Regions from separate parts of the Mus musculus genome. Here regions 2, 3 and 4 are each reported to be linked to region 1. Evidence: microRNA targets listed by miRTarBase, many of them from high-throughput screens and not tested one by one. Region 1 holds a microRNA gene; each other region holds the end of a gene's coding sequence.
Evidence for each region. The annotated mature microRNA mmu-miR-450b-5p reads UUUUGCAGUAUGUUCCUGAAUA and lies in region 1 at 4,804-4,825, opposite strand. An mRNA with a match to its seed (bases 2 to 7 or 8) in the 3' UTR can be bound and repressed. Matches are read on the target gene's strand: a 7mer-m8 pairs with bases 2 to 8, a 7mer-A1 pairs with bases 2 to 7 and ends in A, and an 8mer does both.

Region 2: miRTarBase lists Cdyl2 as a target of mmu-miR-450b-5p. Seed matches in the 3' UTR shown: 7mer-A1 at 1,984-1,990, 8mer at 2,999-3,006 and 7mer-A1 at 5,664-5,670.
Region 3: miRTarBase lists BC003965 as a target of mmu-miR-450b-5p. Seed matches in the 3' UTR shown: 7mer-A1 at 2,342-2,348.
Region 4: miRTarBase lists Cabp5 as a target of mmu-miR-450b-5p. Seed matches in the 3' UTR shown: 7mer-m8 at 550-556, 7mer-m8 at 1,044-1,050 and 8mer at 1,102-1,109.

What each region holds. Positions count from the first base shown.
Region 1 is chrX:53,043,241-53,050,359 of GRCm38, forward strand. Mir450b (microRNA 450b) reads right to left here and starts at 4,838; the gene lies at 4,757-4,838. Mir450-1 (microRNA 450-1) reads right to left here and starts at 5,004; the gene lies at 4,914-5,004. Mir450-2 (microRNA 450-2) reads right to left here and starts at 5,127; the gene lies at 5,059-5,127. It overlaps Mir542 (microRNA 542), which reads right to left and starts at 6,247; the gene lies at 6,163-6,247.
Region 2 is chr8:116,569,300-116,576,418 of GRCm38, reverse strand. Cdyl2 (chromodomain protein, Y chromosome-like 2) reads left to right here. Exons shown (of 7, transcript NM_029441.3): 7 at 1,132-7,119. The coding sequence ends at 1,290. Among named protein-coding and RNA genes, the nearest start is that of Gm31367, 33 kb to the left of the region's middle.
Region 3 is chr17:25,183,663-25,190,781 of GRCm38, forward strand. BC003965 (cDNA sequence BC003965) reads left to right here and starts at 899. Exons shown (of 2, transcript NM_183150.2): 1 at 899-978; 2 at 1,058-4,000. The coding sequence starts at 947. The coding sequence ends at 1,436. Unkl (unkempt family like zinc finger) reads left to right here and starts at 4,738. Exons shown (of 15, transcript NM_001197024.1): 1 at 4,738-4,830; 2 at 5,804-6,013. The coding sequence starts at 4,754. Gm52286 (a long non-coding RNA gene) reads right to left here and starts at 5,808. Exons shown (of 2, transcript XR_003952239.1): 1 at 5,454-5,808; 2 at 4,392-5,347.
Region 4 is chr7:13,407,392-13,414,510 of GRCm38, forward strand. Cabp5 (calcium binding protein 5) reads left to right here. Exons shown (of 6, transcript NM_013877.3): 6 at 392-1,487. The coding sequence ends at 417. Among named protein-coding and RNA genes, the nearest start is that of Cabp5, 13 kb to the left of the region's middle.

The sequences.
Region 1 (7,119 bases):
CTGAGTGAATGATGGAAGGAGGAAGGAGTACCCCCAGATTTCTTCTGTGGCCTCCACAAGTGCCACATGCACACGCATGCACTTGTTCACACAATGTAAACAAAATGCAACCGAAAAAACAAACAAACAAGGGGTTGGACAGATGGCTCAATAGCACTTATTGCTCTTACAGAGGACCTGGGTTTTGTTCCCACCTCCAACATGGTGGCTCACAGACATCAGAAACTCCAGTTCAAGGGGATTCAATGCCTTCTTCTGACCTCAGCAGGAGCCAGGCATATACATGGTGCACATATATATATGTGGGTAAAAACAGCTATAAAATAAAATAAAATAATTTTTTTTTAAAAATTGAAAAGTCCCCAAACCCCAAAACAAAACTCTTTGGCTTTTCGATTTTTACTGACAATGAACAGGGATGATTTCAAATCTGGACATTTAGAAGGAATGTGTTATTATTCTTCTGGGTAATCTTCACCCAGAGATTGTTTTTAGTCGTCCTTATAGTAGCAAATCTTTTATTACTTGACAGGCACCACTGTTCCATCTAGCCCTTATGCAGCAGGAAAGCAGGTCTGGAAAGAACACCTTGGTTCCTTTCCATATTTGGACCCAGAATGGAGCCTACCACAGAAAGTGCTTGGTCGGCTACACTACAGCTATGTATCCCTCCACTTTCCTGACCTCAGAAATTAAGCAAGACCAACCTGCTTAGTCCTTGGACAGGAGAGCATGGCAGTTATGTTTGTTGAATGAACGAATAAAGTAGTTTTGTTTTTGGGTGTTTGTTTGTTTGTTTGTTTGTTTTTCGAGACAGGGTTTCTCTGTATAGCCTTGGCTGTCCTGGAATTCACTTTGTAGACCAGGCTGGCCTTGAACTCAGAAATCTGCCTGCCTCTGCCTCCCAAGTGCTGGGATTAAAGGTGTGGGCCACCACTGCCGGGCTATAAAGTAGTTTTTAAAAGAAGTCTAAACCACATTGTAGCAACTGACAGAGACAGTGGAGTTGACCACAGGGCAGCTTCTGTCTGGGGACTCAGTTTCTCCCTTTCCCCCATTTTCCCCTCTCTCGTTCCTAACCCTCTCTCTGCTTTCTCTCCCTCCCTCTCGAATCTCTACTCTCTATCATTGCCACTGTCCTCTGTGCCATTTGTCTTTCTGTCCTATGGTGGTGAGCAAGATAGACCACTTTGTCAAATCTTCATTCTATAAAAGAGGAAACTGAGGCAAGAATTCAGAGATGAGAAGGAGGACTCTGCTAGATACAATTCTACAGGTAAAAACTGCCCCCCAAAAGAGAGATTCTCTGATTCAGTATTTAATGGACAGATACAAATCTAAAGACAGGCATGGTGATTTGGGCCTTTAATCCCAGCACTGGGAGGCAGAGGCAGGGGGATCTCTGAATTCGAGGCCAGCCTGGTTTAAATAGCAAGTTCAAGACTAGCCAGAGCTACATTGTGAGATCCTGTTTCAAAATCCTCAAAACAGCACAACTACCACCACCACCACCACTACCACCACCTATTCGTAGCAAGTACACTGACTAGCTAGGCTACGGTCACATGAACTGATTCTAGGCCAATCAATAGAAAAAGGAAAAGGTGTTAGGATTGTCTGCTGGAGTCCTGTGGGAGAGGCTTGGCTATTTACTATGACTGACAGTTTTTCCAGAGTCTCATGATTATGATCGGGGAGGGATATATTATGAAGGCAAAGAGCCCCTTCCCAAACTGTTACAAGACCTGGAGGCTAGAGCCTTGGCAGCAGTAACAGATGGAAAGCCAAATGTCTGGAGTTGGGGGCCTGAATTCTCCCCTCGGGATGAAGCTGGCCTGGTAGGAGCTGGAGAAGCCCAAGACAAATACAAAAGTTGGAAATGGTCTTTGAGAGCCTAGCTGCTTTTTTTTTCTTTTTAATCTGCCCTTCTTTGAATAGAGAAACTGCTGTAAATTTATCTCTCACTACTGAATCAAGTCTGCATTCTGGGAATTCGTGCCATCGTTTTCTGGGGGCATTTTGCACTCCCCACTCCCCAAGATACAGTTCCACCCTCAGGGTATAGCCCAGCCCGAATTTGGAAACTGGATTTGTCCTTGACAGGTTCCTCCAGACGCTCCTGACTGCTCTGTGACAGAAGCCATCTGTTCCTGCCTCTGCCTGTGCCCCTGTCATCTTCCTCTGCTTGAAATTCACTCCCTCATTTTCTCTGGCCCTTCCAGCCCCACCCACCTTTGAAGGTGTTCCTCAAGTCCCACATGCCTCCCACTGTCTTCTAAAGTCACCCCTGTCTGTCCTTTAGGTCCAGTGTATTATAGTAGAAAAAGGCCTGTAGATCAAGACTCAAGTTGGCCACCAGTTCTTTGCAAGACTTAGCTGGGAGTTATTTCCTCTCCCTGCAACTGCATTTCCTCTTCTGAGCACCGAGGGAGGACTGGTTTGTTAGAAAGGGAAACCCTCCCCCCTTCTGCACCACCCCCACTCCGGGGGCCGCTTGGCATCCTCCCAACTAAGAGGCATGCTGTCTCCATCCGCCACATTCTAGGATATTCTGATTCGGAAATGCAAGTCTCCACTTTAGTCCACTGCTAAATGAGAGAGCCTGGAGCTCAGTGATTAAATTGATGGAGTTATTACTTTCTCCGCCCCAGAGGTGAGACTTCCCATTTCAGGAAGGGTCCCACCTTGGCTCTTCTCCCTTTTCATAATCCTTGCCTAGCAAGGACCAGAGTGAGGTTTATGTGGAAGGAGGTCGCTTTCATCATTCAGGGTAGAAGGAAGTTTTCTGTGAGATTGGGCCTGGCATGGAAGAAGGTCACAAGACCCTGCCTATTTCTGCTTTCAACCATACAGAGCAAGGGATTTGTGCATCCAAAGTCTCTCTGGCTCCGGTTCATCTTAACTCCCACTTCTCTCCTATCCTCCCTTCCCAGGAAAAATGTTTCTAACTAAATGTGGCAGAGTCAAATGTTTATGAAAAACCCATTGCCAAGGATATGTCTGGCTGTGTGGTTGCTCTAAAGCAGACGGGTGGGGCGTGAGGCTCTGTGGGATGAATGATCTCCCAGTACCTTTGTGAATGACTGCATCTCTCCCACTGCACTAGGTCTGCTTGAGGGAATATACGGATTTTGCTACAGTGCTTTAGCTCTTGGGGGAGAGTTTTCCTGGAGTGTTTATAAATGGCTCAGAGTGGACTCTAGCTCCTCTTCTAATGTGTCAAATCTGAGAAACATTAATAAAGCCTTTAGGAGGGGATAGCAAGATGGCTCAGTGGGTAATGGAGCTTGCCCCTTAGCTAAGGGACCTGAGTTCAATCCCAGGAATCTACATGGTGGAAGGAGGAAACTGACTCCCACACGTCCTGTGATGTCCACAAGTGAGTCAGAGTGCACATAGCCCTCCACCTCACATACCCACAAATGCCAATAAAATGGCACAACAGTAACAAAATCCCAAGAAACCAAAAATACTCCTGAGAGGAACCAGTCAAACCATGGTTGTACTAAGTCCCCAGATATAGTTCCATCTCTCTTACTAAGAAAGAAGAGGGAAAGCTGAACTGGGAGGTCTCCTGTACTCAAAGGAACATCCAGGGATTTAGATGGATGGACAGTAGATGGGGAACTACAGCCAGTTGCTGGCATCTGTCATTCATGAGTGGGCCTTCTGGAAGGTCTTTCCCTGGCTCAGGCATTTCCCAAACTAGCCAGTGTGTCTTGAGGCCAGGAGCAATCATCCAAGTGCCACCTTCCTGAATTGCTCCTGGGAGAAAATAAGCCCCTTTCAACTCTCTCTGTGTTTAGAGTGTTTGATTAGATAAGAGCCATCGGTCTGCTTAGCAGTCACTGGTATTACTCTGTGTGGACCCAGAGGTTTGAGAGAGGCTCTCACTACAGAGTGAGAGCAAACACCCTCCCCCAGCTCCTGGAGCTCTGATTACAAGGCTTGAGCTACCACACCTGGCCGTTACAGTTGTGTTTTTATTTTATTTCTTTCTTTTAGTGTGTGATGTTTGTGTGTGTAAATGTGTTTTTATACTTGGACATGTGTGTGAATGCATAGAGGCCAGGAGTCAACCTCAGATATCATTCCGCAAGAGATCCCCACCTTGGTTTTTTGAGACAAGGTCTCTCACTGGGACCTGGGGCTCCCCAATTCAGTTAGATTCCTAAGGATCTACCTCCCGAAAACTCAAATATAATTATCAGTTTTTAAAAAGTGTATTTGAGTCTTTTGCGCACATGTACGTATGAAGGGCAGACCTTATGGTGGTCCTGTAGGCTTTTCCTAGACAAGTTGGAAAGTGTGGTCTAGGCCAACCACTGCCTGCATAGAAATCTTTCTCTATACATGGGTCAGGGTTTCACGATTAAAAAAAAAAAAAAATCAGTGTAAAGCCAAGTATGTGGCACTTGCCATTAATTCCAGCACTCTGGGAGGCAGAGGCAGGCAACTAGTTCTCTATGAGAGTGAGGCCAGCCTCACTATATACTGAGGCTATAGCCACAGTTAATTACATTAGGTGACCTTGTTTCAAGTCCCACCCCACCCTCCAAAATCAATGTAGACTCTAGTACTAAAATAAAATAAGTTTATTCTTTTGCTATAAAAGAAAAACATTTTGTTTACACAATAATTGGTAAAAAAAAACAATAAAAATATAAAGACAACAATAAACATCACCTGTAATACCAGAGACATAAGTTCTGTTCAAGTTTTGTCATGTTTCTTCCTAGTCTTCCCCCCATATATTGATACAAAATTATGCATGCAAAATGTTCCCAATACGCTTATGTTATGTATTCAGGAACATACTGCAAAAATAATTCTGTATCTGATTCCTATTATAAAAACAAACCATAAACAACTATGGTTAGACTTGCAGCTTCTTTCTTCCAACCTTTTGCCTGTGTATTGACACAAAGCTATTTATGCAAAATGTTCCCAATATAATTATAGCACATATTAGGAACACATCGCAAAAACAGCTCAGTATCTCTCTTTGGTCACTGGTGGTGCTACAGCTTGGAGGTGACTGTCCATATGATGGATGCAGAACCATGAATGCAAAGCATCCCCAATATACTCATAGTACATATTAGGAACACATCGCAAAAATAGTTCAGCATCTTGGTTTGCCTTTCTCCTTCCTCTATCATTCAACCACAGCATCAGTCCCCAGCATATTTGTTCAATAACATTAAAGCACAACTCAGGATAACTATAATATTTTGATCTGTTCTCTTAGCCTTATATCTGTATATTGATCCCATGTATGTAAAATTAAAACGGAGAAGAAAATATTTTGCATGTTTATCATTAAACGCTTTTTATTAGTGTTTGTGGCACATCTTTATGTCACAAAAATTATTTTCAGAAATATCAATCTTAATGATAGCATCCTATCACATTGTCTTAGAAGAGCATATTTTATTTATGCAACCCTTTACTATTAATAAGTCATTTTATCCTCAAAATGACTGAAGTGAAGGGAGGTGGTAACCCCAGTGACATAGATGGTGAGGCAAATGAGCCACAGATGCAGATTCCTCCTGGCAGGCCTAGAGAGTGATTTAAAGCCAGCATGAGCAAGTTAGTGAGGCCTAGTCTCAAAAAAAAAAAAAAAAAAAAGAATTGCAAGCAGGTATGATGGCATACACTTATAATGCCAGCCCTTGGGAGGGGGAATTAGGAGGGGAAGGAATTCAACATGAGCCTCTGCTACACAAGTTTGAGTCTGGGTAACATAAGATCTTGCCTCAAAAATAAATAAATAAATAAATAAATAGTAATAAACATCCTGATGTTTTTTCATTTTCCGTGACTTTCCGTGGCTTGTATATTTATCTTCATGGCTATTTATATGACTCCACATTTTTAAGGTAACCTGTTTTTCTAAAGCTTACAGCTAATGTTTTTCTTGTTTGAGGAAAAACATAGTTTTAATATTTTAGCCTATATATAAAACCATATGTCCTGTCTAGGCTTCAGTGGACTGAATAGAAATGCAAATTAATAAAACCCTTCTCATTCTATAAAAACACAACCCATACCCTCCCCCACTCCATGGCAACCCCTTTCCTCCTTGCCTAGGGCTCAGTCCTCTCCTGACCTCTCATCTCTGTAATACTCACCCCACCAATTCTTAGGAAGAGGAGTGGCTCCCAGACCTTTCAGTTATCAATCTGTCACAAGGGCACAGTGGTATCTCGTGACATGATGATCCCCGAGACGTCTGAGATCCCTGCATGTGTAACCTCAAATTTCTGGATCTCCCAGTACCCTTAAAGACCTTTTAGCGAGTAGCATTTCACAATGGGACACAAATCAAAGCACAACAAAACAAAGAAACAGCAAAACTGTGAAGATGGGGAAAAAAAAACAAAACAAATAAGCAGCTAACCAACCTACTACAAATTCTGTTTTTAAAAAGTCTCTTTGTTTTGCAGTTTCTTTCCAGTTTCTACTCTACTTTCAGCCACCAGAGTTAGTGTAATTCTGTGGCCTTGATTTTTAAAAGCTTGTTATCTTAAGAATGTTTCTAAGTTTCTAGGTAGTTTTTATGATTATTCACAATGACTAAAAACGTTCTTTTGAGGATGCCACTAAATTAATCTCTATGGTTAGTTCATATTTGCTCCCTTAATTTACTTGAGTCTATAGAAAGGATCAAAGCTTTAAAGTGAATTCACTTTACAATTTTTAAGCTTGTACACATTGAATCATGCATGGGTAGGTGACTTACAGTCATTACTTAATCATGAAGTCAATCTTGAGCCTCAGTTAGGAAGTGTCCAGCAGTTAGACTCTCACTCGTCCTTCTTAGGACTAGACAGTTTCAACTAGACCTTTTCTAACCAAACACACTAGTTCAGCTCCATTTTCTGTCCTAATCACTATGGTGTAAGCTTCTGATGGCCAGGCAGGAATGTTACCTGGCACAGCATGAAGTCTGCATGATGCAGTTTCCCAGGTTTCATCTTCAGAATCCTCAGGTCTCTCGAAACTTTGTCTGCCTTACTTATCTCTCAAAGTTGTAAACAACAAATCTATGAAAGCAGTTGGGGCCGTAAGTGAACAGAGGAAATGAAGGCAAGTGCTGAGATGAGGATTGTA
Region 2 (7,119 bases), not on the chromosome of region 1:
GGGGTTGAGGTGTGAACTAGAGAAGCCAAAGAGATCAGAAAAAAAAATATGTCCATGAAGCCTGTTCATCTCGTGCAGTTTTAATGCTACAATTATTGTTGTTCGGCACTACGATTACTAGCACTCATTTCTCTAGTATTAGTGAGCTTACTCATTGCCATCTCACTACATCATTGCTCACTGGTGTGGGTTTTATGTTGATTACTAAGTTTATTATTGCTCCTAACCACAACCATTTCTGCGCTTGCTGAAAATTGTTACTATGGTGCAGTGTGATTCATTTCTCCAATTTACACAGTTATTATTCACTGCCACGATTGTTACAGGCTGCAACCATTCTTATGGTGGTGACTGCTAATGGTCCTTGTTACCCTGGACTGCAGTGACCACCACTGTTAACAGCTGAGCCTAAAAGAGCATCCTGTGGGGACTCCAACGACTCCAACGACCATTATGAGATCAGCTCATCACCTCCTTCTGAGTTCATAGGGACCCTTGGGTTTGGTTATTCTTCCTGACAGGTCATGAAAATGACTCTGTTCATCATCCATGGGGCCGCGTCAAAAAATGGTTTGCAAACTTGGTCATGAAACCCATAGGCAAATAGCACCAAGAGGCTGTGTGGACTCAGCCCCATGGGCAAAGTGCTTGTTGTGTAAGCATGGAGACCTGCGATTGATATTCCAGAAACTACATGTATAATGTGTGTGTGTGTGTGTGTGTGTGTGTGTGTGTGTGTGTGTATGTATGTATGTGTATATATGTATATATGAGAACCTGTGCTGGGAAGGAGTATATATATATATATATGTGTGTGTGTGTGTGTGTGTGTGTGTGTGTGTGTGTGTGTGAATATATATATATATGTGTGTATATATATACATATATATACACACATATATACATATATATACACACATATATACATATAATATACACATACACACACACACACACACACACACACACACACGGTACCGATCATATGTCACCTTAGGCAAGGCCCCCGAGTACCCTGCTTCTCTCCCATAGCCATCTCATGGTCACAGGCTCAACACCCTGACCACCTGAAGCCCCTCAGGACAGTGCTCAGCCCCAGGGAGAGCTAACCCAGCATGCGTTTCTTTCCAGGTTTTGGAGGAGTCCAAATGCCTGGTCCGAAGCTTCCTGAAGTCAGTGCTGGAGGAGGTGAACGAGAAGGAGTGCGTCATGCTGAAGCAGCTCTGGAGCTCCTCCAAGGGCCTGGACTCCCTGTTCAGCTATCTGCAGGACAAAATCTATGAAGTCTGAAGGGCCCCGGCTCACCTGCCCCCACTTGCTCAAGGGTCTCAGACTCCCAGCCGGGCCCTGTGTGTGTTTCTACCATCGGAGCCCAGGGTCCACCCTAGCCAAGAGTTTGTCGGGGTGTGTCTTCACACCTACGGTTGTATCCATTCCTCGTGCCCTTCGGTTGTTCCTCATTGGTTTGATTTTGTGTAAAGGTGGCAAACACAGCACCCTTGGCCTCCCTGTGCACCCTGTCCCAGCCAGCCATAGAGCCTTCCAGGGATCCATCTTCTAAGCGCTCCGCCAGGCCCTGTCGACCTTTCCCCCACTAGCTGAAACTCTCCTACCTTGGTCCAGAAGGGGGAAGACCAACCTCCCTCATCCTCCCGACTCAGTCTGTGTCTACACAGTGCCTCCAACTTGGAGATGAGGCCATCACAGTTCTCTGGTTATGTGATCTGGGACCAGGGAACGATCGTCTTAGGGAACCCACAGACCAACGAGCGTGCGGTAAGCTCTTGACTACATAGGCCTGGCTTCAGTCTTCTCTCCAATGCAACTCGGTGTGACTCTTAGGGCTTGGTCTTAATACCCAACTGAGTGATTTACAAACCCAGATATTGTACATTTAGAAACGTTTTGTTAAATATATATTTTTAAAACAACGTGTAAGTGGAAATTCTGATAATTTATGTGTATTATATGTAAAGCTAGTTTTGCAAAAAAAAAAGAAAAAAAAACAGAAGAACATGACTTACTAGGAAATTTTTTTCTTTATTTGGGTTTATTTTATTTATTTATTTTTGTTTATATATTATGAAGCCTATTGTTCACACAGATCTTATTTTCATACCACCCTGGACCAAATACTATTCAAGGTGCACGCCGTTTGGTGCGTTCTTGCGGTGAGCCACGTGGAAAGAGAGAAGAGAAGGGATTTTAAAAAGGCACAAGCCTGTGCCAGACCCTCTGTGTGCGGCTCATGTGACAAAAATGCCAGTTCTCTAATCTTCAAGGACAAGTCACGGTGGCATTTTCTCTCTTAGTCTCTGTCATTCAGGAGAATGGTGGACTCTGCTCTGTGTCAGCCCCGTCCCTAAAGTCGTGATGTTAGGAAGGGATGGCGAGCAGCCCGTCTTTAGGATGATATATTGCCTAGGGTGAGACTTTTTTTTTTTTTTTTTTTTTGCTCTAGGATAAATAAGTGAACTTGGATTTCCAAGACTTTTCCTTCCATATGAACTTTACTGTCTTGGTTGGCCTTCTGGGGGTGTTGAGGAAAAAAACAAAACTCAGTCCAAACCTGAACAATAAATCTTTAATTTTTGTTTTTTCTTTTTTAAGCTGAGAGAATACAAGCAAAGCCTTATCCAGCATGTAGGTCTCCTTGCCCCACTGGCCCTAGCCTACTGGAGCCTCCAGTAGCTGACTTTATGTCATCCAGTTGGAAGTCTGCACTGGGGGAGAGTTTGGGTGTGAGTTGATGAAGAGATGGGAAATGGAAGGGACCTGTCGTTGTGGTTGGGACCTCACACCTATTTGAGATCATGTGCTTAGAGAAAATTAGACCATGGGGCGTGCGTGGGGTTCCAGGCTAGTTCTAGATGGGTGACAACCTTGACCGCTGTTCTTTCTCTTCAATTCCCTCTGAGTTTCCCAGCCTTTCTCAGCCCTTCCTTGGTGACAGCCGGGCACAGCGCAGAGTCTGCACAGCTTGTGGAGGGGAGGTGGGCTGCAAAAGTAGAGATGGTTCTCTTTGGCTGCCCTTGAATGGGAATAGCTGCCCCAGTCACAAGTGGGAGGGATACATGGCCCTAAGCTCTGAAGGATGCAGACAGTTGAACGTTTGCATGAGAATTAGTGACCTGGCTCTAGACTATGGCTCCCGCGTATGCACATGGCTTTGTGGGCCTTAGAATGACCTTGCTTTGCTCTATAGAAATGCTTTAGAGCTCAGAAGGGTTCAGGAAGAAAAGAGTTTAAGTCCCTATTCTCCACCAGCCTGTGCCACCTTGGCCATGGGGAGCCTGAGAGTACAGTCACCTTGGCTGTATTTGGTCACAGGAAAAAGAAATTGGAGCATGTGGCCCCCTGGAGTCCCTATAGAACACTGTAGGAGCTGTGGGCTGACTGGGGTGTAGAGAATTAAGGAGCCTGAGCCTCTTGTCCCTTCTCTGCTGGGATGAGCTCCATGTACACTTAACCCCACGCCCTTAAGACATCTCCTGTTCTTTACATGTCTGAGTAACTCTTTCAGATCGCTGCCTCCTCTATAGGAAACACCTCCCCCAAACCTTTCTGATTAGCTTCTGATCAAGCCAGTTTTGTCCATAGGGAAGCAAGTTGTCAGGATTCTCTCTAGAAATAGCACGGGATGTTTAGAAATCCCTGTGATCAGCAGTCATCTTTGACTCCTGAGCATACAACCAGATATGCTTTCTCTCTTGGCCATTTGATGGGCGCCACACTTCCGAACATACTGAGGATCTGTGATGACTGAGGTAGACACTGACCATTTCTGAGGTGGGATTTACACCCCTTGTTTTTAAAGACTGTGTTCCGTCTGTTGGAAGGAGGTAGATCTGCCACATGGACACAAGGCATTTAGTCAACCTCCTGGGCTGGCCAAACCACAGGAGTTGGCATTTTCAGGCTGGCTGTTTGGGTAGTGTGGAGTTGGAATCCAGGTGACCCACATATAGCAGATTGAGCTGGGATGGAAAATTCAGTGGTTGTGTCCAGGTTACCCCCAAAGCTTTATTGAGGTCAGGTGCTGGCTCTCTCATCTTTTTACTTTGTACCCCATTGTCCTCTCTCCTCCCATGAGGTCCTTTTGCTTGACCTGTTACTCTCCTTGTTCCTTTTCCTACCACCCTTTCCTAGGGCCCAAGTAAATCTTTTGAGGAATTTTAGATGTCTTTGCAGGCCTGGTGTATGTGTCCCTATTGAACTTGGAAGGGCAGCTATGAGTGAGAGGTAGAGGCTTCCTCTTCTAAGTCAAGGTTCCCTCTAGCAAGCCATTTGAGACTCTCCTCTGTTTACCACAACCTTGGTGGTGGCAACTCCCATATGACCCGGCTGGGGTTAAGTGCTCAGATCCCAGGCGACTTTTGAAGAGTTATGGTTAAGATGGCCAGACCACCTCAGCACTGGGAAGCCACCACCTAATGTGGGTGTTCTTGGGTGACCCTTTACTGGGCAGAAGTAAAGTCCGAGGGAAACACATATGCAGAGAAAGGCGGGGACTGGGGGAAAATGGGGAAATGACGTAAAATCTTACTCTGTGGCATAAATCAAACTGGGAAATATCCTCTCGGAAGCGGGAAAAGATGATTTCCCTGAGTGAAGTTCAACCTGAGGACGGGAAAATAATGACAGGAGACACTGGGCAAGGCATATTTAAATCTCCGAATCCCTCTTTTACAAATAGCCTTGACTGAACGCTGAGTCCTATCCCTCACTACTAACTGCTGGTTTCCAAAATCCTCTTAAAAGGTTTGTTAAAAAACAAAATTCTCTCTCTCTCTCTCTCTCTCTCTCTCTCTCTCTCTCTCTCTCTCTCTCTAGTTTGGAATTTAGTCCTATCCCCACTCTTTTTCAATCTAATTTCTGTTGAAGTTTTTTTTTTTTGTAAAAAAATAAAAATTAAAAATAGAGACATCCACCAATCTTCCTATGGGGACGTTTAGAAGGAGGGCTTGCTTCTCTTCTGTGTTTCTTTATTAAGATACTGAGATCTGTTGTATGTATGAGCCAAGATGCCCTCACTAATATACACAGTATTTAAGACTCCACATGAGATTTCTTGAGTATTTTATTTTATTCCCTGTAAATGGTTTTGTAAAATCTTGGAAATGTACACTTTGGTTTTGTAGATAGATCTTTGGGGCGGGGCGGGGGTTGTCTTGCATGTGTGTTTTTTGTTGTTGCTAATTGTCACATCATTCTTTCTGCAGGTTTTGGTTGAAATGCTTATAGACCTTAATACAGTAAATATATTTTCAGAATATAAACTTTTATATTTCTGTGGTAAATTAGGACATGCGTTTTAGGCAATCTTTTCCATTAATATCACCTTTTCCTTTGGGGGTGAAATATATCTCATATTGGTTTGGTGCCAATGTTTTGGGGTTTTTTTTTTTTTTGGTCTTTAATTTTTTTAATTTAAAATCAGATAGTCATACATTATTAAGAAATCAAGTCAATTTTTTTTTCTCTAGAAGTCATTACGTTTGAATTCTAATTTGAAAATGTATTGAATTTGTGAATAAGCCTTACCATTAGGTTCAATAATCCTTCTGACCTTTCAAAACTACACGTGTAGTTCAAGATCCCCCCCCCCATAAATTCTCACTGTGTGGCAGTTGATGGAGTTCGGAAAAGAGCCTTAAGCTTGTTGCAAAAATAATAATATAATTAATTAATTAAAAGGGTAATACGGGTTGTTTCCTCCAAGTAAGCCATGTTGGTGGGCTCAGTGCAGTCTGTAAGTCGCTCATGGCTAATCTGAAGAGAGTGGTGGGAGGAGCTGATGGCGGCAGGGACCAGGTGGATTCCTCGGCGAATGTCTTTGGCCATAAGACTGGACCGAGGGTAGGTTTTCTTGAGCCACTTGTATTCTAGTAGTATGGTTGAGGGATGGTGCCAGGGAGGGCTGCTAACTCACCATTTGTTCTAAACAAATGACATTTCCTGCTCCTGACCCTGCTGGGGACCCCAGGGTAGCTAAAGTCCGTGCTCTCTGAGAGATGTTAACAAAGTTTACATAAGAGTCTTGCTGTGTAGACAATCTGGAGTCAGTTTCTGTTCCATCATCGGCATCGCCATATGTCCTTGGTGTTTCTGTGAGGAAGTGTGTGTCAAGCCATACTAGGGTGAAGTGTGCTGGATGAAGGTACTGTAGCTACAGAGAGGGAGCAGCAGGTGACCTGGTTCGTCCAGGGCTGTTTCGATGGCGAAAAAAATCACAGAGGGTAGAGTTAAGTCTCAAAAATCAAGTTATAATATCTTTTGGTAGGTGGCACTCCAGCCATCACTGGCTGATTCTCCTTACCAACCCTTGAAGTAGGATTTTGCATTTAGGGCTATGTGGCTTAGCATGCGGTCCATCTCTAGGAAGTGTCCAAAGTCACTTTCTCAGCCTTTGGGATTAAGATTGGCATGTGTCAGTCAGGAGACCTGATGTCTAGAGTGAAGCTTCAGCCTTACGTCTCTGGGTTTGCCTCACCCTCCTTACCCCGACATCTTGTCTGATGTGGGAGCTTACCGACTCCAGGATATTCAGAGGGTGTTGAGTGCTCCATCTAGTCTTTAACTTACCATTGTGCCATTAGTCCCAGCTTGAAGTTATTTTCTAATGTCTACGTTAGCTAGATTGTGAAAAAATAATTGCCTTTCATAAAACCAAGGACCAAAGATTCCATTATTCCAACCAAACATGAGTTTCATAAGCTGTAGGCACATCTGCATCCAGATGTGTGAGTTTCATGGCACAGAGGAACCCTTGGTTCCTCCCACCCCCAAACTCATGCTCCCTGACTTGCCATGCAGAGAAGTTGAATATCTCTTGAAAAAAGGCTCTGAAGGAAGAGTTTCTGAGATGGGAACTTAGTATCTCAGGTGGGTGTTTCTGCTTGTATAGCCTTAAGTTTTCATTTATCCCATTATAAAACGGAGGTCAGGGATCCCTCCGGGTATCTAACCACGGTCAACTCTTCCATTTGCACGTGGGCCTCCAGCTGAAGTTTTGCAGCTAGGTCTTCGGTAGTACATCCTGTGTGACTGCCAGATGTCCATCTCTTTAGTTTCTCATCAAGCCATCCCACTTCCTGCTTAGTAGAGCAAGAATGTTCC
Region 3 (7,119 bases), not on the chromosome of region 1:
CAGATCAAGAATAAAATCGGAGTGATAATCATTATTGAGCCCTGCGGTAAGACCAGGTGTAATATAACTCACTCTAGCTTCTACACAGCACAGGTACTAAGAAGACAGACACCTTTAGGGCTGATCCTCTTTTTTTTTTTTTTTTTTTTGTATTTTAAATTGGGTTGATGTTAAGCTGTGTAGTACTTGGGACCAGTGATTCTCTTCTATCTGCCTCCACAGTATTGGGATTACAAGGTTGCCTGGCTGATTCTGACGATGCAGAGCTTCAATCAGCTTCCAGATCAAAAGGCCAGGTGCACGTTAGCTATGGGAGTGTAATTTCAGAATCGCCTCCCTGTAGGCTGTCCGAGATCTGGTCAGCCTATGGTCTACACAGAGCCATTTCCATTCTTCCTGAAGGCAAATGGATTCTGGGGACCTGGGATAGTCTAGGTGGAGGTGATGTTTCTACAAGCCTTTTCAAAGGGACGGCCAGGCCGGGAGGCGTTTAAGGCGCGAGGGTTTCCCGCCTCCGTGCCTGAGAGCTCGGATGGAGCGCTAAGACTGGAAGATGCGCTCATGGAGAACAGGGACCAAGTCCCTCCCGGACGATGGTCCTGGAAAGAAGCCAGCAGATGCCACGGGTTCTCAAGTCCTTGGGCATCACACTAAACAGCCTCGGGCCAAGCTCTTCGGAGAACCGAGTCTGCTTCACTTTCAATCCGCCGCGCCGGATCAGGTCTCAATGGAAGGACCCAGAACGACACAAACCCGTAAGTCGTCCAGATAGTGATCAGGGCGAGGCCGGAGACGGAAGAGCTAGCGAGAGGAAATGCATCATTTCCGTTGCGCCGCTGGACCCACGTTTTGTAGTCGTGAAATTGGATGTGAAGTTCGGCTTCCGGTTTTGTGCGACGGAAGTGACGAAAGCGCGGTGCGCCTCAGCGTGCGAGTCGAGGTCGCTATGAACAGTGTCCTGTGCTCACGGGCTGCGGGGTGAGAGCCGTGAGGTGCCGGTGCGTGAGGGTGGGAGGTGGCCGTGGCTCCGGGACGCTTACTGCTGTCTCTCTTCCAGAGCGGTCCGGGCTCTGCGGCTCGTGGGCTGGGCTTCGCGAAGTTTGCATCCGCCGCCCCGTGGCCGGTCTCCAGCTCAGCCTGCAGACAGGGAAGAGGAGGACGACGACCCCAACCTCCCGATCCAATTTTCCGGCAGCAAAGCCACCCCGATCCGCTGGACCGTGGAGCATTCCCTGGGGAAGCCGCAGCAGCGGCCCTGGTGGAAAGTGCTGCCGCTCACCCTCACACTCGTGGCTCTGGTTGTATGGTGCTACCAGAGGGAGGAGAGCGGCATGGACCTGTGGTTGAGGCAGGTGTTGGAAGAGGAGGACGAGGAGGAGCCGGAAGGTCCTCCGGAGGAGCTTGAAGCTCCGGCCCTCTACGGGGCTAGAACGTAACAGGGTGCGTGCTGAGGAAGGGACTAGGCAGCCGTCCTTTCGTTGTTGAATTTGACGATTTCTGAACTGGTTCTGCGCATGTCCTCGTTGCTTAAAGGACTTGGATGGCGCTCTTGGCGCTGAGACACAAGAACACAGCACAAAGTTGGAGGCTTGAAATCTGATCTTTGCCGAACACCAATGCCCAGTGATTACGTCCATAGAACTTTTGAGGTTCCTAGAAAAGGTTTTGGGTGCACCTTATGCTCTTGAGTTATGATGTGTTCATACAGCCTAATCATGTTTCCAGCGTTCATCTGGTGGAGGTGTTACCTGCAGTTCATTCGCTTTCCGAGACAGACTAACTGCTGAAGTGTAATTACCTATATGTGTGCAACATCAGTTGAAGCTATTTTAAAAACTAACAAATGGAAAATACATTTGGTAAAGTCTAATGAACTCAATTTTCTCACCTCCCCTTTCATCATCAAGTAGGCTTTGGTTTTTTTGTTTTGAAACACAGTCCCCCTATTTAGCTCTGGCAGGCCTAGAACTGGCTATGTAAACCAGCCTTGCTGTAGACTTAGATATCAGCCTGCTTCCTGCTTCTGCTGCCATCTTTTTTTTTTTTTTTTTCTCTTCTGCTCTTCATTCCCACATGAGAACTTAAAAACTTGACAGAAGTGGTAGGGTATGCTTGTCATCTCAACACTTATGAAACTGAGGCAGGAGGATCCTAAGTTTGGGGTCTGCTTGGGCTACGTAGGGAGGGCCTGTCTCAAACAAAACAAAACATCAATAATATAGTGGGTTGGTTTTTTTTGTTTGTTTGTTTCTGTCTTTTTCACAGTGTTGTGATTGAACTCAGGAGTCTATTGTGCTATCCTACCAATGAGGTCTGTTTCCAGCTCACATAGAATTGCTTTTGCAAAAAAAAAAAAATGTTACATTTCATGCAGTGGGTTCTCAGTGCTGCCAGGCTGATAACTTATCTGAAGTGATGTGGGCATTTGAACTCGTGAGCAGAATAAGTGGGGACACTCACTACACCTCTGCTTTCTCGTTTTTTTTCTTTCCTTCCCCCTTTCTAATTTTTCAAGACAAGGTTTCTTTATGTAGCCCTGGCCATCCTGGAATTCTGGCTGTATCCCTGGCTGGCCTTGAACTCAGAGGCAGAGGCTGCGTCCGCCTCCTGAGTGGTGGGATCAAAGGCGAGCACCACCAGATCTGAGTTTCACATCTATTTTACGGATAGGAGAATAGGTGTGTTAGCTAAAGGGTTACTTAAATGTTTATTTTATTTATTTATTTATTTTTTGTGCTATGCTTTTCCAATTTCCCAAATAGACTGTAGCTTGTGTTTTTCCTATTGTTTTCAGCCCAATGAATTCTCTGGGTGAGTGCCCAGCAAATATCAGGTAGGGAGAGGGCCTGTAACTAACTATAAGCCAGCTGCATGTACAAGACAGTAGATAAACTGTTGGGCAGAAAGAAATGATTGAATAAAACATGTTCTTTTGAGGGAGGAGGAGTTAACGTAACTGACGCTTACAAAATTAGATTTACTTTATGTGTATGTATGTGCATCACATACATGTCTGTTGCCTATACAGGTAAGAAGAGGATGTCAGATTCCCTGGAACTGGAAATACAAATGGCTATGAGCAACCATGTAGGTTCTGGGAACTGAACTTGGGTCCTCTGGAAGAGGAGCCATTCACTGTGAGCAATTTCTCCAGCCCCAACAGCCACTTTGTGTAAGCTCTTGAAAATGGAAAGGCTCAGTAGTGTTGGAAGTGAGCTGTTACACAGATAAAAACCTGTTAGTTCTGTTCTGAGCCATAGCCCTCGAGTACCAGCTTCAATAAAAGGACACGTCTGGCCCTTATGTGGGTGTCACAGGTGATGTCTGCAGAGGAATAAAACACATCTTTTGATGAGAGACCTTTGCCCATGTCCACAGTCAAGGTCGCTGAGTTCCACCATCACTGCTATTTGCTCTCTGTCACACCTTACAGAGCCAGCTTCTCTCTCTCTCTCTCTCTCTCTCTCCCTCTCTCTCTCTTTCTCTCCCTCTCTCTCTCTCAGATTCCTTAGGTTGTCTTGTGTGTTTCTCCAGGCTGGACTTGGGGGTTGACCTAGTTTTCATTCCCTATCCCTCAGCAGTCTGAGACACATTTATTCCTCTGTAGGTTCCCCTGTCTGCCCTTCCCTGCTTGCTCATTCTTCTATTTGATCTTTGAAAAAACAATGTTTCTGTTTGCTGGGACTGCCTACAGCTCACTATCCATCCACATGCTTGTGCAACCATTAAAATAAGTCCTTTAAACTAAGTTAACTTCAGGGTCTGTGGGCTAGGGGAAATGCTCAGGGATAAGTGCTTAGCCGGCATGGACCTGGGTCCGGGCACGCACATGGCTCCGGGTTCTACCTCTAGCACCCAAACCAAACCAACTCACTCTCCAAAGTTGTCAACAACTCAAAGAATTTGTCTACAAAAATGTCATATGAAGAAGTCAGTAATCCTACCAGCAAATGGTAATTTTACCTTACTAGTACTTTAAAATATAGCATACATACCTGGACCGTGTATGTCTCTCTGTTAATATTTTAGATCGTGTTTCTGGAAATGGGATAGGTTTTCTGTAATCCTCCTTTCTGAAAACATCCCTCTCTTTTCTGCCCATTCCTTTCAGAACACTTGTGGCTGTGCTACTCAGACTTTATCCCTCAGAGCACACCCGCAGTTAGCAGAGGAGCTGTGGTCACTTTACACACCAGTGAATGCTAGCCCTGGGTTCTCCCGAATTCATCCTAGCACTTGCGAGTCCTGCCCGCCACGTGCAGTTAGCATTCTGCGGACCCCAGATCAGTCTGATTACTGACCACCCTGTACATCCTTTACCCGATGGGCTCATCTGGCAGCATCTTACGCTGTGTTTTTAAAAAAGTGGCTCAACAGAATTCACACTCGGATTATCCTTAAATTCACAAATTTAATAAAGGGGCGACCATCGTCACAGTCTAATTATAGACTTTTTCCAGTTCAAAGAAACCTGTGCCCAACAGCAGCCCTGGACGCAGAGGCCATCATGGGGACTCTACACCAACGGGCGTGTCCCGCCTTGCGCCTGTAACTTGCTGCCGTGGTGGGCCGGCAGAACCTGTGTGTCACCCCCGCCGCACAGCGCGCGTGGGCGAGGGGTCGGTGGGGGCGTGGCCGGCGTGGCGTGCCCGGGGGTGTGGCCGGCGCGGCGGGGGGCGCAGGGGGCTCGGTGCGGGGGGGAGATCCGGGGGCGCCGGCGCGGCGCATGCGCGCTGCATTGTTTTGACTGAAAATGCCGTCGGTTTCGAAAGCGGCGGCGGCGGCGCTGAGCGGGTCCCCCCCGCAGACAGAGAAACCAACCCACTACAGGTCAGTGCCTGGGCTGCGGTCCGTGGCCTTCTGGGCGCTGCGGCGCAAAGCAGCGGCCCGCGTGCGCCACGGGCCCCGGTGTCGCCGCTGTGGGTGCGCCCCGCCCGCGCCCGCGCCCCCGCCGCCAGCTCTTGCGGGTCACGCCGTCCAGGCGCGGGCCGCCGCCTAAGGTGGAGTGGCAGCGCCCAGGGTTTTCGGTGACCCCTGGCTTGGGGGCTGGACTTGCTCCTGGTCTCCGGCGACCCCGCGCGCCAGACTGGAGTCTGGGGAACAGCGCCTGCGTTCGTAGCTCAGGGCCGCGCCTGGGCTGGAGGTGGGCGCACGGCCATCCGGACTCGAGCAGTCGCTGCCTGAGGTTGAGAGGCGGTTCCGGGGTCTGGGGTGACCTCTGGGCTGGGGGCGGAGCCGCACCTAGAGTCCGGTGGCCGCTTGGTTGTGAGCCCGGGGGTCGTTTCTGCGGCGCAGAAGAGGGGTTGCGCCTGGTGTGGGCGGGTGGCGCTTGCAGTCCATCTGGAACCTATGAAGGTAGTCGAGCGGGAGACCGGGACTGAGGATTGAGAGGTGGCTCCAGGGGTCAGGGACTAGAAGGGGGCAGAGAATGGAGTGTACTTCTGTAGAGTTACCTGGGATCAGAGTTGGTGATGGCCTGCTAAGAGGAGGTCTATGCCTCGTGTCCGGGAATCTTCTTATCTGGGGACTGGGAAGTGGTATTTGGGGTCAGGGAACGGAGAGTCTGCCTGACTGGAGTTACCTGGTCTCCGAGTTGGGAAGTGACACCCGGGGTGCTTTTAAAAAAGGAGGGTACCGGGCCATGGCAGTCAGGATCGCTCAGTGTGTGTGTGTGTGTGTGTGTGTGTGTGTGTGTGTATTGCCGGGGGTGGGGGATGCTTCTCGTCTGGGACCCTGCCCCGCCGCATCCCAGGGGCCTCCAGCCGGCGGTGGCTGCGGCCCGCAACGCTGTTTGTCTTTTTAGGTATCTAAAGGAGTTTAGGACAGAGCAGTGCTCCCTGTTTTTGCAGCATAAGTGCAGCCAGCACAGGCCGTTCACCTGTTTCCATTGGCATTTCCTAAATCAGCGTCGTCGCAGACCGCTCCGACGACGCGATGGCACCTTCAACTACAGCCCGGACATATACTGCTCCAAGTACGATGAGGCCACCGGCCTGTGTCCCGATGGTGATGAGTAAGTGGGGTTCCGGTGGGTGGCTCATGGTCTTTCCTCAGGATTGGTGTTGACTCTCTGATCAACAGGTTTTTGAGGTTTCTGGTTTTTTGTTTTTTTGAGACAGGGTGTCTTTATGAAGGCCTGGCTGTCCTGAAACACTGTATGTAGACCAGACTGGCCTCAAACTCATAGTGATACCTGTCTTGGCCCCTTAAAGTGCTGGCATTAAAGGTGTATGCCACTACACTGGTCTCCTTGCTTCTTTTTAACACCCACTACCTGTAGAGGGAACCTCATTTTTATTCAAGACTTCTCGGGGTCAGTAGAGTAGTGTGCTTGAGGGGTTCCCTGTTTGTAGGCTAGTTTCCTAAAAGATGATGTATGTGTGTTGTAGGTGAAAATCTTTGGTAATTCAAACTGATTTTGATTCACTTACCACCCCACCCCATCCAATGCTCTACTTTAAAACTGGCCCATGTTTTGCCAGCCATCTGATTTAAAACGGTTTTGTGTGGTCAGTTGTAAGTGTGTCATGTGTAACATGTAAGTGTGGAATATTTTCTTGCTTATGTATGTATTTTAAAGAAGAGTAGCAGAACTGTTATTCTGATAAGGATTTGTGAATTGATTTGTGGACAGGAGCCCGTGATCTGCTTATGTAGGCTAGGACTCTTTAACACTGTGATGCGTTCTGCTCATTTGTAGTTGTTTTTTTGTTTTGTTTTGTTTTTTTTAATGGTAGGAAAGTTGTTTTATTTGCACGTTGTCAGTTATGTAACACTTTTGGATTTTAATAAGTCAAGGTTTTGTTTGGGTTAGTTTATATTTTACAAGTTTCCTAATGGTGTTATGAACAGATGTCTTTCTTTGTGTGCATGTGTGTGCTTGTGTGTGCAGGTGCAGAGTGTGGCGGCTCACGCGCCAGTGCGTACACACACGATTGGAGTTCTCAGGTTAACCTTACATGCTGTTCTCACCTTATTTTAAAACAGGGTCTCTCACTGGCCTGGAGCTGGTTAAATCGGCCAGACTGGTTGGCCTGCCTGCAGGTGCCAGGGGCCAGCTGTCTCTGTCTCCCTAGCATTGGGATTACAAGTGTGTGCCACTGTGATCAGTGGTTTTGT
Region 4 (7,119 bases), not on the chromosome of region 1:
TGCAAAATACAAATACACATTAAAACAACATCAACATCAGCAACAACTAATAAAGCCCCAGGTGCAGTGAGAGACCCATTTTCAAAGGAATAAAATAAGGAGGATTACAGAAGGACACAGGGCATCCTCCTGTGCCCTCTACATGCATGCACAGGTGCATGTGCATCTGTCTATACATTCATATAACATACATAAACACACATACACACCATGAAATAAAGTACTAATAATTTCTGTTTATAAGCTCTTAGTATTTTATGAACACTATGTCCTGAGAGTTCAATGACTAATATCATTGCCTGCAACATAGGAGAAGCTCCCCAAAGTAACTCCAGGTGCTTTACAGAGGAGCCTCACAGGAATGGTTGTTTTCTTTTCTTTCTTTCTTCAGAGTTTGTGAAGATGATGTCTCGTTGAAGAGGTAATAGAAGCTCCAGACACCTGCTGCCTTGTCAACATGGCTGAGCACTTGTAGAGCACTGGATACCCAGAATACCTTAAAGGATGGAGGGTGGGAGTAGGCTTGCCCCAGTATGGACTGGGGTGCAACTGCAAACACTTGCTTTGCTTCTTGGGAGCAGAGACATATATAGAAGCAAGTTTAGAAGGAAGACTCTATGTATATAAATCTGAATTATACTAGGATCTAGTGCCACTCAAGCATGCCAGAAGCTATGACATCATTTCCTAATCTCTTTCCCACCACATTCTCCTTCCATGACTCCCTTGGTTAAAAGATGGTGTGGGAACTTTTTCACAGTCCAAAAGAAAGAAAAGAAAGCCTTTCAAAAAGTTACACACATAGCTTATCTTTCCCCTGACTACTCTAAAAACGACCCCATTTCCTTCTCTTGGTAAGAGAGTGTCCCACTAGTCACAGGGTTATAATGAAAATCCTAATAAATATCAGTTTAGAAATGTCTCAGGAAGAGGCATTCACAGTTGTGTTTTTCCAGTTCCCCAGAAGCAGAGTCTGTCACTCCCCCTGTAAACATCCCTGTCCCTGCCCTAGTGTGAGATAACCCTGGAGGAACTGAGCTAAACTGCAAATCTGGATTATCAAGGTTTAGTACAAGCTGATCCCTGCGAATATTTAATCCCCTGCAAAATCAGAGAGAGAGAGAGAGAGAGAGAGAGAGAGAGAGAGAGAGAGAGAGAGAGAGAGAGAGAGAGAGAAAGAGAGAATTCCCCAAATCCCTAGCCCAAGCCAAGTGACTGCAGCATCCTTCCTGGAAGCCCTCTGCTGCTGTGTTGATCTATCCCTGGCTTCTCCGGGCTTCTTTCTCTACCTTAGGTAGTTTGTGAACTTCACCCCTCATGTATGGATCTGGACCCTTCAGTTGCTTTATCATTCAAGATAAAGAATTTGTGTCATATCTTCCTCCAAGCTTTTCTTGCATTGAAGTTCATTATCTAGAAATATAGAAAATGTCATCTGATCCTTGATCCAATAGCTTCAATTTACATGACTGAAATAAAGTAAAAGTAGAAGAAGATATATTTCCCATTCTCTTATCTGTGGTTGTGTTGTGTCACTATCCAGGAACTACTTGATTTTCTTTTAGTGTTTTTTTTCTCCCTTTCTCTCTCTCTCTCTCTCTCTCTCTCTCTCTCTCTCTCTCTCTCTCTCTCTCTCTCTCTCTCTTTTAGTATTTATGTAGCAGTTATCTCTGAATTGAAACATTTCAACCCAGAGGAAAGCTTGTTAAGACTCATGAAATCCTAAAGGAGGCTCCTTAAGACTCAGGAAGTAACTTCCCTCTTCTCAGAGGTCAAGTGGAGGGGGTGGTAATGGGAGGGTCTGTATGAGTGGGGAGATTGTTATGAGAGAGTGGGGCTGCAGTTGGGATGTAAAGTGAATAAATAAATTAATTAAGCAATGGAAAAAAAAAACAAGATACAGGAAGTATTGGTCTGGAAAGATACCTCTGCTGCTATTCCAGAGCACTGGAGCTTGATTCTCACATCCATATGGTGGTTTATAATCATTATAACTTCAGTTCTAGGGTATCTGGCTCCCTTTATGGTTTCTTTTTTTTTTAATTAGGTATTTTCCTCATTTACATTTTCAATGCTATCCCAAAGGTCCCCCATACCCATCCCCCCAATCCCCTACCCACCCACTCCACTTTTTTGGCCCTGGCGTTCCCCTGTACTGGGGCATATAAAGTTTGCAAGTCCAATGGGCCTCTCTTTGCAGTGATGGCCAACTAGGCCATCTTTTGATACATATGCAGCTAAAGACAAGAGCTCCCGGTTACTGGTTAGTTCATAATGTTGTTCCACCTATAGGGTTGCAGTTCCCTATAACTCCTTGGGTAATTTCTCTAGCTCCTCCATTGGGAGCCCTGTGATCCATCCATTAGCTGACTGTGATCATCCACTTCTGTGTTTGCTAGGCCCCGGCATAGTCTCACAAGAGAGAGCTATAACTGGGATCTTTCAGCGAAATCTTGCTAGTGTATGCAATGGTGTCAGCATTTGGAAGCTGATTATGGGATGGATCCCTGCATATGGCAGTCACTAGATGGTCCAACCTTTCGTCACAGCTCCAAATTTTGTCTCTGTAACTCCTTCTATGGGTGTTTTGTTCACATTTCTAAGAAAGGGTAAAGTGTCCACACTTTGGTCTTCGTTCTTCTTGAATTTCATGCGTTTGGCAAGTTGTATCTTATATCTTGGGTATCCTAAGTTTCTGGGCTATTATCCACTTATCAGTGAGTACATATTGTGCGAGTTCCTTTGTGATTGGGTTACTTCACTCAGGATGATACCCTCCAGGTCCATCCATTTGCCTAGGAATTTCATAAATTCATTCTTTTTAATAGCTGAGTAGTATTCCATTGTGTAAATGTACCACATTTTCTGTATCCATTCCTCTGTTGAGGGGCATCTGGGTTCTTTCCAGCTTCTGGCTATTATAAACAAGGCTGCTATGAACATAGTGGAGCATGTGTTCTTCTTACCGGTTGGGACATCTTCTGGATATATGCCCAGGAGAGGTATTGCGGGATCCTCCGGTAGTACTATGTCCAATTTTCTGAGGAACCGCCAGACTGATTTCCAGAGTGGTTGTACAAGCTTGCAATCCCACCAATAATGGAGGAGTGTTCCCCTTTCTCCACATCCTCGCCAACATCTGCTGTACCTGAGTTTTTGATCTTAGCCATTCTGACTGGAGTGAAGTGGAATCTCAGTGTTGTTTTGATTTGCATTTCCCTGATGATTAAGGATGTTGAACATTTTTTCAGGTGTTTCTCTGCCATTCGGTATTCCTCAGGTGAGAATTCTTTGTTCAGCCCTGAGCCCCATTTTTTAATGGGGTTATTTGATTTTCTGGAGTCCACCTTCTTGAGTTCTTTATATATATTGGATATTAGTCCCCTATCTGATTTGGGATAGGTAAAGACCTTTCCCAATCTGTTGGTGGCCTTTTTGTCTTATTGACGGTGTCTTTTGCTTTGCAGAAGCTTTGCAATTTTATGAGGTCTCATTTATCGATTCTTGATCTTACAGCACAAGCCATTGCTGTTCTATTCAGGAATTTTTCCCCTGTACCCATATCTTCGAGGCTTTTCCCTACTTTCTCCTCTATAAGTTTCAGTGTCTCTGGTTTTATGTGGAGTTCCTTAATCCACTTAGATTTGACCATTGTACAAGGAGATAGAAATGGATCAATTCGCATTCTTCTACATGATAACCGCCAGTTGTGCCAGCACCATTTGTTGAAAATGCTGTCTTTCTTCCACTGGATGGTTTTAGCTCCCTTGTCAAAGATCAAGTGACCATAGGTGTGTGGATTCATCTCTGGGTCTTCAATTCTATTCCATTGGTCTACTTGTCTGTCACTATACCAGTACCATGCAGTTTTTATCACAATTGCTCTGTAGTACAGTTTTAGGTCCGGCATGGTGATTCCACCAGAGGTTCTTTTATCCTTGAGAAGAGCTTTTGCTATCCTAGGTTTTTTGTTATTCCAGATGAATTTGCAGATTGCTCTTTCTAATTCGTTGAAGAATTGAGTTGGAATTTTGATGGGGATTGCATTGAATCTGTAAATTGCTTTTGGCAAGATAGCCATTTTTACAATGTTGATCCTGCCAATCCATGAGCATGGGAGATCTTTCCATCTTCTGAGATCTTCCTTAATTTCTTTCTTCAGAGATTTGAAGTTTTTATCATACAGATCTTTCACTTCCTTAGTTAGAGTCACGCCAAGATATTTTATATTATTTGTGACTATTGAGAAGGGTGTTGTTTCCCTAATTTCTTTCTCAGCCTGTTTATTCTTTGTATAGAGAAAGGCCATTGACTTGTTTGAGTTTATTTTATATCCAGCTACTTCACCGAAGCTGTTTATCAGGTTTAGGAGTTCTCTGGTAGAATTTTTAGGGTCACTTATATATACTATCATATCATCTGCAAAAAGTGATATTTTGACTTCCTCTTTTCCAATTTGTATCCCCTTGATCTCCTTTTGTTGTCGAATTGCTCTGGCTAATACTTCAAGTACTATGTTGAAAAGGTAGGGAGAAAGTGGGCAGCCTTGTCTAGTCCCTGATTTTAGTGGGATTGCTTCCAGCTTCTCTCCATTTACTTTGATGTTGGCTACTGGTTTGCTGTAGATTGCTTTTATCATGTTTAGGTATGGGCCTTGAATTCCTGATCTTTCCAAAACTTTTATCATGAATGGGTGTTGGATCTTGTCAAATGCTTTTTCTGCATCTAACGAGATGATCATGTGGTTTTTGTCTTTGAGTTTGTTTATATAATGGATTACATTGATGGATTTTCGCATATTAAACCATCCCTGCATCCCTGGAATAAAACCTACTTGGTCAGGATGGATGATTGCTTTAATGTGTTCTTGGATTCGGTTAGCGAGAATTTTATTGAGGATTTTTGCATCGATATTCATAAGAGAAATTGGTCTGAAGTTCTCTATCTTTGTTGGATCTTTCTGTGGTTTAGGTATCAGAGTAATAGTGGCTTCATAAAATGAGTTGGGTAGAGTACCTTCTACTTCTATTTTGTGAAATAGTTTGTGCAGAATTGGAATTAGATCTTCTTTGAAGGTCTGATAGAACTCTGCACTAAACCCATCTGGTCCTGGGCTTTTTTTGGTTGGGAGACTATTAATAACTGCTTCTATTTCTTTAGGTGATATGGGACTGTTTAGATGGTCAACTTGATCCTGATTCAACTTTGGTACCTGGTATCTGTCCAGAAATTTGTCCATTTCATCCAGGTTTTCCAGTTTTGTTGAGTATAGCCTTTTGTAGAAGGATCTGATGGTGTTTTGGATTTCTTCAGGATCTGTTGTTATGTCTCCCTTTTCAGTTCTGATTTTGTTAATTAGGATTTTGTCTCTGTGCCCTCTAGTGAGTCTAGCTAAGGGTTTATCTATCTTGTTGATTTTCTCAAAGAACCAACTCCTCGTTTGGTTAATTCTTTGAATAGTTCTTCTTGTTTCCACTTGGTTGATTTCACCCCTGAGTTTGATTATTTCCTGCTGTCTACTCCTCTTGGGTGAATTTGCTTCCTTTTTTTCTAGGGCTTTTAGATGTGTTGTCAAGCTGCTAGTATGTGCTGTCTCCCGTTTCTTCTTGGAGGCACTCAGAGCTATGAGTTTCCCTCTTAGAAATGCTTTCATTGTGTCCCATAGGTTTGTGTACGTTGTGGCTTCATTTTCATTAAACTCTAAAAAGTCTTTAATTTCTTTCTTTATTCCTTCCTTGACCAAGGTATCATTGAGAAGAGTGTTATTCAGTTTCCACGTGAATGTTGGCTTTCCATTATTTATGTTGTTATTGAAGATCAGTCTTAGGCCATGGTGGTCTGATAGGATACATGGGACAATTTCAATATTTTTGTATCTATTGAGGCCTGTTTTGTGACCAATTATATGGTCAATTTTGGAGAAGGTCCCGTGAGGTGCTGAGAAGAAGGTATATCCTTTTGTTTTAGGATAAAATGTTCTGTAGATATCTGTCAGGTCCATTTGTTTCATAACTTCTGTTAGTTTCACTGTGTCCCTGTTTAGTTTCTGTTTCCACGATCTGTCCTTTGAAGAAAGTGGTGTGTTGAAGTCTCCCACTATTATTGTGTGAGGTGCAATGTATGCTTTGAGCTTTACTAAAGTGTCTCTAATGAATGTGGCTGCCCTTGCATTTGGTGCGTAGATATTCAGAATTGAGAGTTCCTCTTGGAGGATTTTACCTTTGATGAGTATGAAGTGTCCCTCCTTGTCTTTTTTGATAACTTTGGGTTGGAAGTCGATTTTATCCGATATTAAAATGGCTACTCCAGCTTGTTTCTTCAGTCCATTTGCTTGGAAAATTGTTTTCCAGCCTTTCACTCTGAGGTAGTGTCTGTCTTTTTCCCTGAGATGGGTTTCCTGTAAGCAGCAGAATGTTGGGTCCTGTTTGTGTAGCCAGTCTGTTAGTCTATGTCTTTTTATTGGGGAATTGAGTCCATTGATATTAAGAGATATTAAGGAAAAGTAATTGTTGCTCCCTTTTATTTTTGTTGTTAGAGTTGGCATTCTGTTCTTGTGGCTGTCTTCTTTTTGGTTTGTTGAATGATTACTTTCTTGGTTGTTCTAGGGCGTGATTTCCGTCCTTGTATTGCTTCTTTTCTGTTATTATCCTTTGAAGGGCTGGATTCGTGGAGAGATAATGTGTGAATTTGGTTTTGTCGTGGAATACTTTGGTTTCTCCATCTATGGTAATTGAGAGTTTGGCCGGGTATAGTAGCCTGGGCTGGCATTTGTGTTCTCTTAGTGTCTGTATAACATCTGTCCAGGCTCTTCTGGCTTTCATAGTCTCTGGTGAAAAGTCTGGTGTAATTCTGATAGGCCTTCCTTTATATGTTACTTGACCTTTCTCCCTTACTGCTTTTAATATTCTATCTTTATTTAGTGCATTTGTTGTTCTGATTATTATGTGTCGGGAGAAATTTCTTTTCTGGTCCAGTCTATTTGGAGTTCTGTAGGCTTCTTGTATGATCATGGGCATCTCTTTTTTTATGTTTGGGAAGTTTTCTTCTATTATTTTGTTGAAGATATTAGCTGGCCCTTTAAGTTGAAAATCTTCATTCTCATCAATTCCTATTATCTGT